Linked DNA regions of Saccharomyces cerevisiae S288C. The protein of the gene in region 1 purifies or fractionates together with the protein of each later gene. This does not show direct contact. Each region holds a gene or a part of one and is shown on either strand. Other genes may lie near its edges.

Region 1 (8,119 bases):
CGACCGATAGATCAATGATCTGGAATTCTGACTTGGTTGAAACTCTGGAGCTACAGAACTTATTAACCTGTGCCTCCCAAACAGCTGTTTCCGCTGCTAATAGAAAGGAATCCCGTGGTGCTCATGCAAGAGAGGATTATCCAAATAGAGATGACGAACATTGGATGAAGCATACATTATCCTGGCAAAAGGACGTCGCTGCCCCAGTGACTTTGAAATACAGAAGGGTTATCGATCACACTTTGGACGAAAAGGAATGTCCTTCCGTACCTCCAACTGTAAGAGCCTACTAATTTGAACCTCATTGTATTTTACGGAAAAGAATATCATACTCTTCTTTAATTGCACTTTTTTTGTGCGTTTGCACTTTTTTACCACTGACTCACTAATTTGTATATATACCTATTAATATACATTTACATAAAGTTTCTTCTTATACATACTCTATTTATTTAGTTATTTATTAACTTACTATTTATTTATTTATTTATTTATTTATTTATTACTTTCAATTTTTTATCGAGGCATTTCCTTAGTTCTCCAATTTTTTTTCTCATTAGCCAGATGTGTGTTTTTCTGGCCCTCACAAAAAATGAGCAGGAGAAAGTCATATGGCGAACGTAAATATGTAACTAAAAATTAAGATGGGCAGACATTTATCATTTTGCTTATGACTAAATTGCGAATTGCTGTACAAGGGTGCTGTCATGGTCAGCTAAACCAAATTTATAAAGAAGTGTCACGAATCCATGCGAAGACTCCCATCGATCTATTAATTATTCTTGGAGATTTTCAAAGTATTCGTGATGGTCAGGATTTTAAGTCAATAGCCATACCACCAAAATATCAAAGACTCGGTGATTTCATATCATACTACAATAATGAGATTGAAGCCCCAGTCCCTACTATTTTTATTGGCGGTAATCATGAATCGATGAGACATTTAATGCTTCTGCCACATGGTGGTTATGTAGCAAAGAACATTTTTTATATGGGATACTCTAACGTTATATGGTTTAAAGGCATAAGGATAGGTTCATTGAGCGGGATATGGAAAGAGTGGGATTTCAATAAGCAACGACCAGATTGGAATGACCTAGAAAATAACAATTGGAAAGCTAACATAAGAAATCTGTATCATGTAAGAATTTCTGATATTGCTCCTCTTTTTATGATCAAGCATCGTATTGATATTATGCTGAGCCACGATTGGCCCAATGGAGTCGTTTATCATGGCGATACTAAGCACTTGTTGAAGCTTAAGCCTTTTTTTGAGCAAGATATTAAAGAGGGAAAACTAGGCAGCCCAGTGACCTGGCAACTACTAAGAGATTTGCGGCCTCAATGGTGGTTGAGCGCCCATTTGCATGTCAGGTTCATGGCCTCCATTAAGCATAATAAAAGAAGCCACGAACCGCCTAATAAGTCAACTTCAAAGACAAAAAAAAACAATAATGAAATAGATTTGGATTTATCCAGTGACGAGGACGAAAGGTCTGGTATTATGAATTGCCAAGAAGAGAATGAGTATGATTCCAAATACGGCGAGACACGGTTCTTGGCGTTGGACAAGTGCCTGCCAAGAAGACGTTGGTTAGAAATTCTGGAAATAGAACCGGATACATCGCATGCTTCGTGGAAGGACGAGAATCACCGTATGTTCTGGGATCCTGAATTTATCAATAATTTGGTAATTTGTCAAAAAAATAAGAATCTCCTAAGCAATAAACCGTTTAATAGCGTCAATTGGATAGAACTGTCTCAATCTAATAGAGAGGAAGGAAGGGATATTGATTGGGAAAATTATGCCATTCCTGCATACACCTTAGATATTCAGAAAGATGAAGTACGACAAACTAAAGCATTTATCTCTAAATTCATGACTTGAGAGATATTTCTATTACGAATGCAGACGGAATTAGAGCTTAAAGCCAAGCCTTCTTGAGAGAATTTTTAGTCATACACATGAATATATATATATTTTTTATATATTTACTAATTTGAACGATCCGAAATTAAAAAAAATATCAATTACTTTCCTCCATGCTTAAAATTTGAAAACTTGGTCCTTGGAGTAGCCCAAATTGTTCAAGATACCGATCAATTCACCTTGGTCCTTAGGTGACTTCTTCTCACCTGAGTAAGCGTTCATAAATGGTGGGGGACCGCAGACAAACAAATGTGTGCTTTCCTTTGGACCTGGAACATGCTCCTGAATAAAATCTTTGGAGATGAAACTAATTTCACCATCAAAGTCTTGGTCATCTTGCTTGTCGTCAACAAAGTAAGTAACATTGAACTTGTCAGGATACTTTTCCTTCAACGCATCCAGTTCCTTCCTTAGTAAAATGTCCTGAGGAGTCTTGTTCCCATATAGCAAGTTAACTTTGGTCTTGTCGTTTGGGTTTTCAACTATATGATGAGCTAATTGGTACAGAGGGTTGATACCGGTACCGGCACCTAACAAGGTGATTGACTTGAACTGATTAGGTTGCCACTTCCATTTCATAATAGGACCCTTGAAAGAAACGGTGTCATTTGGTTTAAGACCAAATAAATGTGAGGTCATTTTACCACCTTCATAATGCTTGACGACCAGCTGGAAGTGACCCTTCTGGGAAAGATCACTCACAGGAGTGTATGGTCTCACCACATTGGATCCCTTTGGTGTGACAAATTTAGCAAACAGAGCAGATGCTAGGACCAACCCCATTTCTGAGTCTTCGGTAGGCAGCTTAAAAGTAAACCTTCTGGTGTCGTGGGATTCCTCCTCTATTTTAGATATTGGCAAGTCGATCCATTTGTCATCACCTTTGAACACTTTATTAGATTCATTGAAGACAAAGGAATGTTGGTTACGGTTTGCAAAATAGAATGCGGTAGCAGCTGCTATAGCAACTGTACCTAGAGCAATCGGTAATGCTTTTGAGTGAGATCTGGATAATCTGGAAAACATGTTTTTGACTTGGAATATTATTTTAACCTATATACGTTATACTATTGTTAGTTTGGCTGCTTCAAAACGTTAGTATTGAGGGAAAAGGTAAGAGTACTTAACACAAGCGGGCATTGCGAGCAAACTGCATTCTTATATACGTACCTCTCTCGACAAGACACCAATCAAGGGCCCTTATTTCTCTTCTTTTTTCAAACGGAGAAACACTCCGAGCGATAGTTCCTACGCTTGTTTGGTCTTAGACCTTTGAAGTTTGAATTGTCAGGGGTAACAAGTTCCTTATACGATATAGGCGTCATAATGAGGGGGATAGTTTAGCATTGCGTGGAGGGATACTGAAGGTCATCGCAAATGAACCTAATTCATTCACCTATTGTTACCAGCTTGCATACTAGAAATGGACTCTTATGATCGTCAAAAGGAGCACACACCCACACACGACTCCTTTGCGCTGTAAAGGGCAGAATAGGGAGTGATGTGATGTGATGCGATGTGATGGGTCTTGCAACGTGATCTAGTAGATATATATGTAAAGGTGTAAATAGGTATATAGGCGTCGGTGAAATTTTATTAGCAACACCAGTTCAATACGATCACTACCGTATCACTGGAAATGTTAGCAGAATTGTCTCATAGAGAATTGATAAAGTTGGCGCAGAAAAGATGTATACCACCTTTATTGCCAAAGTTTCATAAGGGACAGTCTGGTGGGAGAGTTTGCATTATTGGAGGATGCGAAGATTATACAGGGGCACCGTATTTCAGCGCCAATGCTACAGCCTTGATGGGCTGTGATTTGACACATGTCATCTGCGAATACAACGCTGGTACGGTCATTAAATCGTACACCCCAAACCTAATGGTTCATCCATACCTTCGTATGAGTAACACCAAATTAGACGTTGATATGGACGAACAAAGGAAGAAAATCAATTCCTTATTGGATAGAATCCACGTTGTGGTAATTGGACCCGGCTTGGGTAGGGACCCCCTAATGTTAAAATCCATTAAGGATATCATAAGATATATACTTGAAAAACATGAGGGCAAGATCCCGTTAGTAATTGATGCTGATGGACTGTTCTTAGTAACTCAAGATAGCGAAGTCAAAGAAATGCTGAAAAGCTACCCCAAAGGTAGAGTGATCTTGACGCCCAATGTGGTAGAATTCAAAAGACTATGTGATGCCATAGGCAAGAAGGGAGACTCTCACTCCGAGATGGGCAGCTTGATCGCCCAGGAATTGAATTGTATTGTGGTGGAGAAAGGTCAGTCAGATAAGATATTCTCACCCGATAGTGAAAAAGACATGTTGACGAACAGCGAAGAGGGCAGCAACAAGAGGGTAGGAGGCCAAGGTGATACTTTGACAGGAGCTATATCATGCATGCTTGCATTTAGTCGTGCAATGTATGACTTTAAGATTTGTGAGCAGGAAGAAAAGGGAGAATCTTCTAACGATAAACCCTTGAAAAACTGGGTAGACTACGCTATGTTGAGTTGCTACGCAGGCTGCACAATTACACGAGAATGCTCCCGCCTAGGATTTAAGGCTAAGGGACGTGCAATGCAGACGACAGATCTAAATGACCGTGTCGGTGAAGTGTTCGCCAAACTTTTCGGTTAACACATGCAGTGATGCACGCGCGATGGTGCTAAGTTACATATATATATATATATATATATATATATATATATAGCCATAGTGATGTCTAAGTAACCTTTATGGTATATTTCTTAATGTGGAAAGATACTAGCGCGCGCACCCACACACAAGCTTCGTCTTTTCTTGAAGAAAAGAGGAAGCTCGCTAAATGGGATTCCACTTTCCGTTCCCTGCCAGCTGATGGAAAAAGGTTAGTGGAACGATGAAGAATAAAAAGAGAGATCCACTGAGGTGAAATTTCAGCTGACAGCGAGTTTCATGATCGTGATGAACAATGGTAACGAGTTGTGGCTGTTGCCAGGGAGGGTGGTTCTCAACTTTTAATGTATGGCCAAATCGCTACTTGGGTTTGTTATATAACAAAGAAGAAATAATGAACTGATTCTCTTCCTCCTTCTTGTCCTTTCTTAATTCTGTTGTAATTACCTTCCTTTGTAATTTTTTTTGTAATTATTCTTCTTAATAATCCAAACAAACACACATATTACAATAATGCCAAAGTTAGTTTTAGTTAGACACGGTCAATCCGAATGGAACGAAAAGAACTTATTCACCGGTTGGGTTGATGTTAAATTGTCTGCCAAGGGTCAACAAGAAGCCGCTAGAGCCGGTGAATTGTTGAAGGAAAAGAAGGTCTACCCAGACGTCTTGTACACTTCCAAGTTGTCCAGAGCTATCCAAACTGCTAACATTGCTTTGGAAAAGGCTGACAGATTATGGATTCCAGTCAACAGATCCTGGAGATTGAACGAAAGACATTACGGTGACTTACAAGGTAAGGACAAGGCTGAAACTTTGAAGAAGTTCGGTGAAGAAAAATTCAACACCTACAGAAGATCCTTCGATGTTCCACCTCCCCCAATCGACGCTTCTTCTCCATTCTCTCAAAAGGGTGATGAAAGATACAAGTACGTTGACCCAAATGTCTTGCCAGAAACTGAATCTTTGGCTTTGGTCATTGACAGATTGTTGCCATACTGGCAAGATGTCATTGCCAAGGACTTGTTGAGTGGTAAGACCGTCATGATCGCCGCTCACGGTAACTCCTTGAGAGGTTTGGTTAAGCACTTGGAAGGTATCTCTGATGCTGACATTGCTAAGTTGAACATCCCAACTGGTATTCCATTGGTCTTCGAATTGGACGAAAACTTGAAGCCATCTAAGCCATCTTACTACTTGGACCCAGAAGCTGCCGCTGCTGGTGCCGCTGCTGTTGCCAACCAAGGTAAGAAATAAGTCTGAAGAATGAATGATTTGATGATTTCTTTTTCCCTCCATTTTTCTTACTGAATATATCAATGATATAGACTTGTATAGTTTATTATTTCAAATTAAGTAGCTATATATAGTCAAGATAACGTTTGTTTGACACGATTACATTATTCGTCGACATCTTTTTTCAGCCTGTCGTGGTAGCAATTTGAGGAGTATTATTAATTGAATAGGTTCATTTTGCGCTCGCATAAACAGTTTTCGTCAGGGACAGTATGTTGGAATGAGTGGTAATTAATGGTGACATGACATGTTATAGCAATAACCTTGATGTTTACATCGTAGTTTAATGTACACCCCGCGAATTCGTTCAAGTAGGAGTGCACCAATTGCAAAGGGAAAAGCTGAATGGGCAGTTCGAATAGTACTTAAGATTAGTTAAAAGTCCATGATTGAACATTGATGTGGTAGTTACATGCATGATGAATATGCGCCATGAGAGGTTGGTGAATTTTGAGATAATTGTTGGGATTCCAATGTTGATAAAGGCTGTTATATTATGTATACAGAATATACTGGAAGTGTCTCCTCGAGGATATAGGCATCCCCAAAAAGGAATCGATATTTCTACATAATAATATCACGATTGTTCCTCATTCCATTTCATATGTTTCATTATCCTATTACATTATTGATCCTTGTATTTCAGCTTTCTCTAACTTCGATGACAGTTTCTCATACCTTATGTCATCATGTCCACATTTGACACCATATAAGATAATATACTGGTAGTATAACCACTAGTTGATGACGATAGTTGATTTTTATTCCAACACGCGGACATATTAAATGTACGGTGGCTAGCAGGCCTCCTATTCACCATATTTAATCTTCATTAGTTGTACCTTTGACCATTGACAATCAACACAATAATTATGAACAAAATTTCCTGGTACAATGATTATGGTAAAGAAGAAAAAAAACGCTGCTTGCTATAACCAAATCAGAAAATATAATACTATAATAAAAATACATCAAACTACTTATCTTCAATTATTTTCCCGCATAATTAGATCATATAACTGCTGGAACATCAAACAAATATTAGCTCGCGTGGCGTAATGGCAACGCGTCTGACTTCTAATCAGAAGATTATGGGTTCGACCCCCATCGTGAGTGTTTTTTACACCAGCAGTCAAAAAGAGTTACTTTTGATATTGCATGTGTCGATGATGCAACTATGTCTTTCTCTGCGTACGGAATCTAGAGCTATGTTAAATGCTTGTTTTTAAACTATCTATCGTTCATCTAGTTATAAATTATAATTATATTACAGTTTTTCATCTATCCATTCGCGCCATTGGGAAATTTTTCTTTTATTAATACTGCCCTCAAAAGCAACTACAGATGCTTCCAAATTTGCAAATTTGAACCCGTCGGTAGACTGTAAAACGTCTAGTGTATTCTCTGCATAATCTTCTTCGTTAATTTTTCTTTCAACCTCGTTCAACGATTTTTTCCTTCTTTCAATAACCTTTTGAATTTCGCTTTCTAAAGCATCCTTGATCTTTGATGGTGGTCTTGCAGTGAACAATTCGCTTTTATTGCATGCAATTAAGATATCAATACCATTTTCGCAACTAGATTCAGTAATTGATAATATGTCTACCAAGAACTCAGCTGTTGTTGTTAATTTCTTAGGATCAACTGTTGAGTCTACCATAAATATCAACCCTTTAACAAATTTGGCTCTTGTTTTCAAATAATCTGAGAGTTTATAACGCAACTTGACATGGCCTGGGAAGTCCACTAACGTGACGCCGGAACCATCGTAATCCGCTGCTGATAACGGTTCTTGAGAAACAACAGTTGGTCTTACTGAATCTGTGGTTAGCAGCGTAAGCAAGCTCGTTTTTCCAGAATTTTGAGGACCTGCAATGATAATAGATGGTTGATAACTTTTTTGCTTGATCCCTGTCTTGGAGGATGCCTTTTGCACTGCTATTAGCGCTATGGTTGTCCCTATCACCAATAAACAGGCAATAATAAGTGTATTACTAAGCATTCTGATCCCGTGTGCTATTATGCTAATAAACAGCAGTGGTAAAGTAATAATTAATTGATCAATACAGACACTTAAAGCCTAACTATTTCTTTTCTTCTCATCTTTTTCAAGTTTAATGATGGTTCATATTTGTTTTCCATATCTCTTATTTTTTTCCGCCACTAGATGAAAAAAGTGAATGGTGAAAAATTAAGAACAGTATTGCAGCAAAACCTCTGAC
Region 2 (7,665 bases), on another chromosome or scaffold:
AGAAAAAGTGGATTGTATTTTTTTGCATATTCCCTAATATTGAAGATCACTGAATATACTCACAGTGAACAATTACTTGAAATGCTACGGTTTACTCATCGAGGCCTTCCCTCCAGCACTCGTTTTAGAAACATTTTCGTAAGGTTAAATCACATTTATGTACCATGGTTCTATGCCATAGACGTACCCAACTCCAAACCCTATTTACCCACATATCAAACTTTACACTCACCCAAAAAGTTTAAGCCGTTCTCCGTTGATGATTCTAATCGTTTGGAAAAGGCCAGTAAGCGTCAAGAACGCAGGCCTGTTTTAGTCAACGAAGATTACCTGTTTAAAGTCGACCTCTCTCACATGGAATTGTCCCCTACCTATTGGGAAGGCCCTACTTATCAAGTACGAAGAGGTGTGTGGTTCGACTCTTCAAATCAACCTTTGTCCAGTGATCTTACCTCCGAAATTGAAGGGTTGTATAAGCAGCTCAAATTCGACGACAGTAATGATGATCCGACCACGACACCTCCTGCAGAATCGCAAGATATATTTAGGCTCAAAGGTAAATACCCAGTCGATAAAGAAAACGAAGGAGAGCAAAAAAATGGATCCAGCAATAAAGATGAGAACGAATCTACTTTCAAGTTTATTTTGTTTGCCAATAAACAAACTGCATTTTTACTATCGGATTTAGATGGAGGAAAACTGCAATTAGCCTTTCTAAGGTCTAATCTGGCTCAATCCTTACCGATTAATGCTACAATGATTACAAGATCATACAAATATTCATCCTCCGCAACTACTAAACAGACATCCACATCTTTTAAGGCAGCAAAAACGCCTCAAACGGAAGTAGCAGATGGTAGTAACAGTTCCAAATCGAGGAGCATTGAAACAAAGTTAGAAAAGAAAGTTTCAAACCTCTTCAATTTATCGGACTTTTTACAGTTGTTCAATGGTAATGCTAGTAAAGATCAAGATGATGCACAGAGCTTGGAAAAGCAAATGGAAACAGACTATAACAATGCAGATAACAGTCAAGGCGCTAATGCTAGTAGCAAAATAGAAGATGGCAAAAATTCGGGCGCAAGCGATAGACAAATTAGAAGTAACAGAAGAGATGTGGATAACTTGATACTATGCGTTCACGGTATAGGTCAGACTTTGGGTAAGAAGTACGAATACGTAAATTTCGCACACACGGTAAATCTACTTAGGTCTAATATGAAAAAAATCTACAATAATTCTGAGAAACTACAATCATTAAACACAGCACCTGATTATAAAAGCAACTGTAACGTTCAAGTGCTACCCATCACCTGGAGGCACTCGATAAGTTTCCAAACGGATGCTAAGGAGGAAAATATAGAAAATCCTGACCTACCGACTTTGTCACAAGTCACAGTAAATGGAGTGTTACCCTTGAGGAAGCTACTGGCTGACGGTCTACTAGATATTTTGTTGTATGTCGAACCATACTACCAAGATATGATTCTACAACAAGTAACCTCTCAATTGAACAAAACATATCGGATTTTTAAAGAATTTAATCCAGAGTTTGATGGGAAAGTCCATTTAGTGGGCCATTCGTTGGGTAGTATGATATTATTTGATATTCTATCCAAACAAAAAAAATATGAATTAGAATTTCAAGTAGACAACCTGTTCTTTATTGGCTCACCAATTGGATTGTTAAAGTTAATTCAAAGAACAAAAATTGGTGACCGTCCCGAATTTCCCAATGACTTGGAGAGAAAATTAACCGTACAGAGACCGCAATGTAAGGACATTTATAATGTTTACCACGTCTGTGATCCCATTTCTTATAGGATGGAACCTCTTGTTAGTAAAGAAATGGCTCATTACGAACAAACTTATTTACCACATTGTAGTGAAGCTTATGGACTAACTTCTAAAGTTTTGGAATTTGGCGAAAACATATGGAAAGATTTGCCAGGTACTGATGAAAATAATTTGCAGTCCAAAAAAACTTCTCCAGAAAAAAAAGAGGTCAAGTTATCAGAAAATCTTACGAGAATGCTTACAGGTTTGAATTACACCGGACGTCTAGATTATGCTATGTCTCCAAGTCTGCTAGAAGTGGATTTTATATCAGCTATAAAATCACATGTTTCTTATTTCGAAGAACCGGATATTGCAGCGTTTATCCTAAAAGAAATTTTAAGTAAACATGAAAATGCATCAGAAATATATGTAAAAAGAAAGACTGGTTGATCAGTAAACGCAAGGCACAAGTTTTTTTTAACTTTTTTCTTTACTGTCTATTATAGTTCCACTGTGTAAGGTTGTATTCTTTCCGTACTTCAACTTGCGGGTAACAGGATTGACACCTTTTCAATTTTTTCCGTTATTTTGGATTAGAAATTTTCGGTAAGCTCATCGAGTATTGTAAAAGAGCAATGCCCTTTGCTTATTAGATGTTGAGGGGCATATCTATTGTTAATATAGATTGATACAGCTGTGGAGATTATTTCTAGATATACGATGAAGTACATTATTGAGCATATGGAGGAAGGGTTTAGTGAATGGGTCATTTTAGAGTATAGCCAAATCCTGAGAGAAGTAGGAGCTGAAAACTTGATTTTATCATCGTTACCAGAGAGTACCACGGAAAAGGACATCCCTCAAAGGCTACTAAAACTTGGTTTAAGATGGACTACAAAGGATTTGAAGGGCATTAACGAAGATTTCAAGGATTTGGAACTGTTAAAAGATGGCAGAGTCTGTCTATTGGACCCTAGGGCTACAATCGATTTACAGCCGGAGGATGCTACGAAATTCGACTATTTCGTATTTGGTGGCATATTGGGTGATCATCCTCCAAGAGATCGTACCAAAGAACTAAAGACTGCCTATCCGAATCTTTTAATTAGCAGAAGACTAGGTGATAAACAAATGACTACGGATACTGCCATAAGAACAACACAGTTGATTATCAAAGACAGGATTGCATTTGAAGACATCAAGTTCATTGACTACCCTGAATTTAGGTTCAATAAAAATGAGGCCACGGAAATGCCATTTAGATACGTTTTAGATAAAGAAGGTAAACCTATTTTGCCTGAAGGGATGTTGGATTTGATCAAGAAGGATTCTGCTCAAAGTTTGGACGATCTGTTGATGTAGATGAGAACAGTCCTTTAAGTAACATTCTATGGTTGTAATAAGTGATGATGCTTCCTTGTCAAAGAGTTAGTTGAAAAGTTTAGGGTCGTAGCATTAATTATATTGTATATAGTTCAAAAACGACATTCAATGAAAAAATCAAGTTTATTAGCCAATGAATATTTCGTATTTTGCGTTAGTAGCGCTACCAAGACTTCTGAAAAGTGCATGCAAGAAAAATAAAAACAAGGAACCGTTTACTTTTATGATATCATCATTGTCAGGCCAAATAGGATAAAATTGATTGGTTGTATTATGCTTTTTAATTGAAAAAAAAAGTAGAAACTTTTATTATTTTATTTAAATTAATTTCTTTACATTACTTGCATCTAAAACCAAACGAGCTGGTGACTTCAAGCACTGCACTAGTTGCCATGGCTTTGCTAATTCAGACGACCCCCTTGAGGTGAAAAAATAGTCTCAGTAATGAAACAATCATAGGCAATTAGTTCGATTTTTTATAATTATCTTCCAGCCTTTCAAATATTGAAAGGCCATCAACTATCACTTACACCTGAGTGTTGTCATTGATCCGTAAAGTAAAAAGAGGCAAGTTTTGTGCATATTCGTATCATGCACAATGGCCTAAGGCAAGTATTTTCAGTGTTTTTTTTTTTTCATTGCCGTTTTGCTATTCAGAATATATTGAATTATATGTATAATGCATACTTAATAGAAAGAAGGACGCTAATTTTCGTTATAGAACAGTAGTTTCAAAAAGTGCTTCAAGTTTATAGAAATCAGTGCATCCCTTCACTGAACGATGAAGAACACCACCATTTCAGAAATTTTTATACATAATCAGTTGGCTTTCGTATCCTGCCTCGTATCTTTCTCTAAATCATTTAAAAATCCTTCAATACTCTTTACGACATCATCGTCCTTTCCCATAGCATCTGAGTTTGAACTTTCACCGCTTTTTTGTTGGCTCAAGGCAGAACTATTCTTGCCTTCATTTTTGGTTTTTGGTTTCGTGGTAAAGTAAGATGCCACTGCAGCAGTAGCGATAAACGTAGATATAGCCAATACGTGAGGTTGAACCGTCTTCCCAAATACTTTGTATGCAGCACCCATTGAGATAGCTATATTTATTTTTGTATATCTTATGTTTAGAAACAGTAGCGACCTTTCTTACTTGTTCCTTCAAAACTTGACTTAGATAACTATTTACCCTTAAACCGTTAGCTCTGTATTATGGACTGTGAAATTACACCTCGTTACCCGAAGTTCTATTATATTTTCAATCCATACTCCTATGATCTCTTCATTGGGAAAAAAAGGTCCACTTTCTCCTGGATTGCTCGAAGGCTTTCCGTAAAGAAAATACCTTTTATTTTTCTTTGCTTTCTTTCTCCATTAAATAGTAAACGCCTCTTTCTGAGGCAGCTGGCTAAAAAAATGTAACAAGGAATTTTATTTTATTACGGTTCAGCAAAGGCCGTAACGATAGTTGTATTATTTTCGTTCATATGTAGCAGCGATGGTAGCATTTTTTATTGTATAAATTGTGGCTTGCGTCGATTATCTTATTATGCCACTCATAATAAAAAGTTACTCTCAAAATGTCAATATTCAATAATGCATGTCTGTCTTTTTAATTTAGTACATACGTAGGATTAGGTATTGGAAGCAATCATAATGAGTTCTAAAGTTGTTATTTCTCACTTATTGCACCTCTCGAAGTTCTCTCATTAGCCGCCCAATTCTCATTCGTGTGAAGGTCATTAACGGGGTAATGCCCGTCATCAATGATAGAAATTTCTAGAATCTTGAAGGAATGGGAAAAAGAAGCTTGATTATGTATAAAATTAGTCAAAACGCTTATACAGTACAAACTTATTATGTGCTAGGTTTAAAATAATTTCTGATAGAAGCCATTGATCGAAAATATATTGAATCTACAGAAAAAAAAGAATGTCCACCCTTTTGAAGTCTGCTAAATCTATCGTTCCATTGATGGACCGTGTCCTTGTCCAAAGAATCAAGGCACAAGCAAAGACAGCATCCGGGTTGTATTTACCTGAAAAGAACGTGGAGAAGTTAAACCAAGCTGAAGTTGTTGCCGTAGGCCCGGGCTTTACTGATGCTAATGGTAATAAGGTTGTTCCTCAAGTTAAAGTTGGTGACCAAGTTTTGATTCCACAGTTTGGTGGTTCTACCATTAAATTGGGTAACGACGATGAAGTTATTCTTTTCAGGGACGCTGAAATCCTGGCTAAGATTGCCAAGGACTAAGAATGATGTCTTCTTCAACAGAGATTTTATATACATACTCTATATGTATGTACCTGTAAATAGGCCATTATGTATGACAGGAAAAAAAAATAATTGAACTCAAATTTCTTCTGCTATTCAGTTGCTGCCCCCAATTGTCTGCTAATAAAATTGATCTATTCATCAATAGGAATTTTAGGGACACTATGTGTACAAACTATCCGCTCATATTTTGCCGAATAAGAACAATGATTTCTTCTTTTTTTTCTTCTTCTTTTTCTTGTCGTTACGATCATCACTTTCAAAAACATCGCCACTGCTACTATTCCTTCTACTGGATGATTTATTTCCAGAGGAACTTCCACTTTTAAACACCTTAAAAATCCCAACTCCACCCCCAGTGAAGGTGTTCACAGTACTAAAACTAGACGAGCTTTTCTTTGACCCTGCACTACTTGAGGAGTCATTAGTTTTGACTTTTCTTAACGCACCGGCACTTTTAACTTTCCTCAAAGGAATGCTATTATCAACACTACTGCTTTTATCAGATGGATCAAAGGAATTTTCTTTGTCGAAGGAAATACTGTGCCTTATATCAGGCAGATTTCTGGCTTTGCCAAGGGCGGCTCTTCCATCTTTGTGTTTTACAGAGGTTGCAAACTTGATTTGGGACGTAGGCGAGCTACTGAGTTTAATAGTTGTTGTGGTATTTTGTTCCTCTGAGGAAGAATATGGTATTAAAGATTTTCTAAACTTTGTGTTTTTCGACCCATTGCCTATCAAAGCATTCTTAAAGCTGGAAATTTGGTCACCGTGACTGGACTGCGATACATTTTTACCAGGCAACGTCTCTATCGCTAAAGAAGACTTCAATGACTCTCTAATTATGATATCAATTTTCTTCAACAAAAGTTTTTCCTTAGTACATTCTCTATCTTTCTCATCGTCTTGTAATTTTTCTATATCACCCGTGATCTTCCTTCTTGAATGCTGGGCGAGACCGGTCAATTTTCTTGGAATGGAATCATTAGAGGTGTTGAACTGCTTTTTGATGTAGCCTTGCCTTTTGAAATCTTCGGCGTACGAATCTACGGAAATATGTGAAGAAATATCTGATATTGTATTTTTTTTGAACATTGAACTGCTCATGCTCTCAACGTCAGTGTGTTCGTGCTTCATATGATTTTTTGAGACATAATGTTCATTTACTTCTCTTTGTAGATTCAGTTCGAACGAATACATTCGTTTCGAGGGAACAACAAATGTGGGAATCGGATAACTAACAGGAAAGACATCTGTCAGCTTTTTGGATTTATATGTAATAAGATTCTCATTTCGCTCGTGCTTTAAAGTAGCAAGAACTAAGAAATCTGGAGTATGGACATTAATGACATCTACCAGACTTTTTTTAATTTTGCCTACAATTATTTCTAAAGTAATTTTGACGGATATTTTGACCACTTTTACTAGCTGTAAAATATAATCAAAAATGTCGTTTAATTTTTGATCTATTACTTCTTTTTGATATCCCGGTGCCCATTCTGTATCATCTTTTGCAGTTTTTTTCCTGTTAGAAATCATTTTTGGCAGTGTAGTTATGACAACAATGTGATCAAGATTTCGTGCAAACTTGTAGACTGTCCAGTCTAGGGCAACCCACGTATGTTTTTTTCCGTTAATGTGACAAACTATTGTCTTAGGGTTATTGGGATATCCGACCTTTTGTTGAAGTATTTTATGCTTTCTTTTTTGTTCTTTTGTACATGGTGCACTATCATCTCCTCTATATAACGGTTTAATACGCTCTTCAGAGAAGATAAGTTCTGGGTAAGTAAACCATTTTTTTTTGTCATTCAGCCTTTCATTTATTTGTAGTTTTCTTTGGCGCCATAACTTTATCCAGTTCTTTTCAAACCTGTTTATCATCAACGTTTCGTTGACAATTACTGGCGTGCTTGGATAGTCTCTCCTCACTATTTTTCCATTCTTGGATACCAAGAAATATTTTTTGATGTCAGAATTCTTTTCCAACAACTTTGAGGATCTCATTGGAAAACTACTGGATTCAGATTTGTTCTCTTTTCTAGTATTCAGAAAAGGTGATGATTGGAATGTATCTCTCAAATAATATTGCAAATTTGGCGAAAAAGAGTCTGTTTCATCGTCATAGCACTCTTCCATCGTGTAATAGTTGGGAACAGGTACACCTTTGAATCCTTCCCTGCTGTCGTCTATAGAAGAATAACCAGCGGTGGAAGGCACTGTGTCAAA

Evidence for each region.
Region 2: the proteins of GPM1 (region 1) and HSP10 purify together in Saccharomyces cerevisiae (affinity purification with mass spectrometry; 2 studies listed by BioGRID, with this or other methods). This does not show direct contact.

Annotation. Positions count from the first base shown.
Region 1 is NC_001143.9:161,381-169,499, reverse strand, and holds GPM1 (phosphoglycerate mutase GPM1), read left to right. Parts: upstream 1-5,114; coding exon 5,115-5,858; downstream 5,859-8,119. Other genes in the region: succinate dehydrogenase flavoprotein subunit SDH1, read left to right, coding at 1-293; DBR1 (RNA lariat debranching enzyme), read left to right, coding at 671-1,888; MCR1 (cytochrome-b5 reductase), read right to left, coding at 2,048-2,956; NNR2 (NADHX dehydratase), read left to right, coding at 3,570-4,583; SRP102 (Signal recognition particle receptor subunit beta), read right to left, coding at 7,165-7,899. UniProt on the Saccharomyces cerevisiae protein: Interconversion of 3- and 2-phosphoglycerate with 2,3-bisphosphoglycerate as the primer of the reaction. Can also catalyze the reaction of EC 5.4.2.4 (synthase), but with a reduced activity.
Region 2 is NC_001147.6:368,274-375,938, reverse strand, and holds HSP10 (Hsp10p), read left to right. Parts: upstream 1-5,094; coding exon 5,095-5,415; downstream 5,416-7,665. Other genes in the region: DDL1 (putative carboxylic ester hydrolase), read left to right, coding at 82-2,229; protein-arginine N-methyltransferase SFM1, read left to right, coding at 2,500-3,141; MCO10 (Mco10p), read right to left, coding at 3,982-4,254; YOR019W (uncharacterized protein), read right to left, coding at 5,620-7,665. UniProt on the Saccharomyces cerevisiae protein: Eukaryotic CPN10 homolog which is essential for mitochondrial protein biogenesis, together with CPN60. Binds to CPN60 in the presence of Mg-ATP and suppresses the ATPase activity of the latter.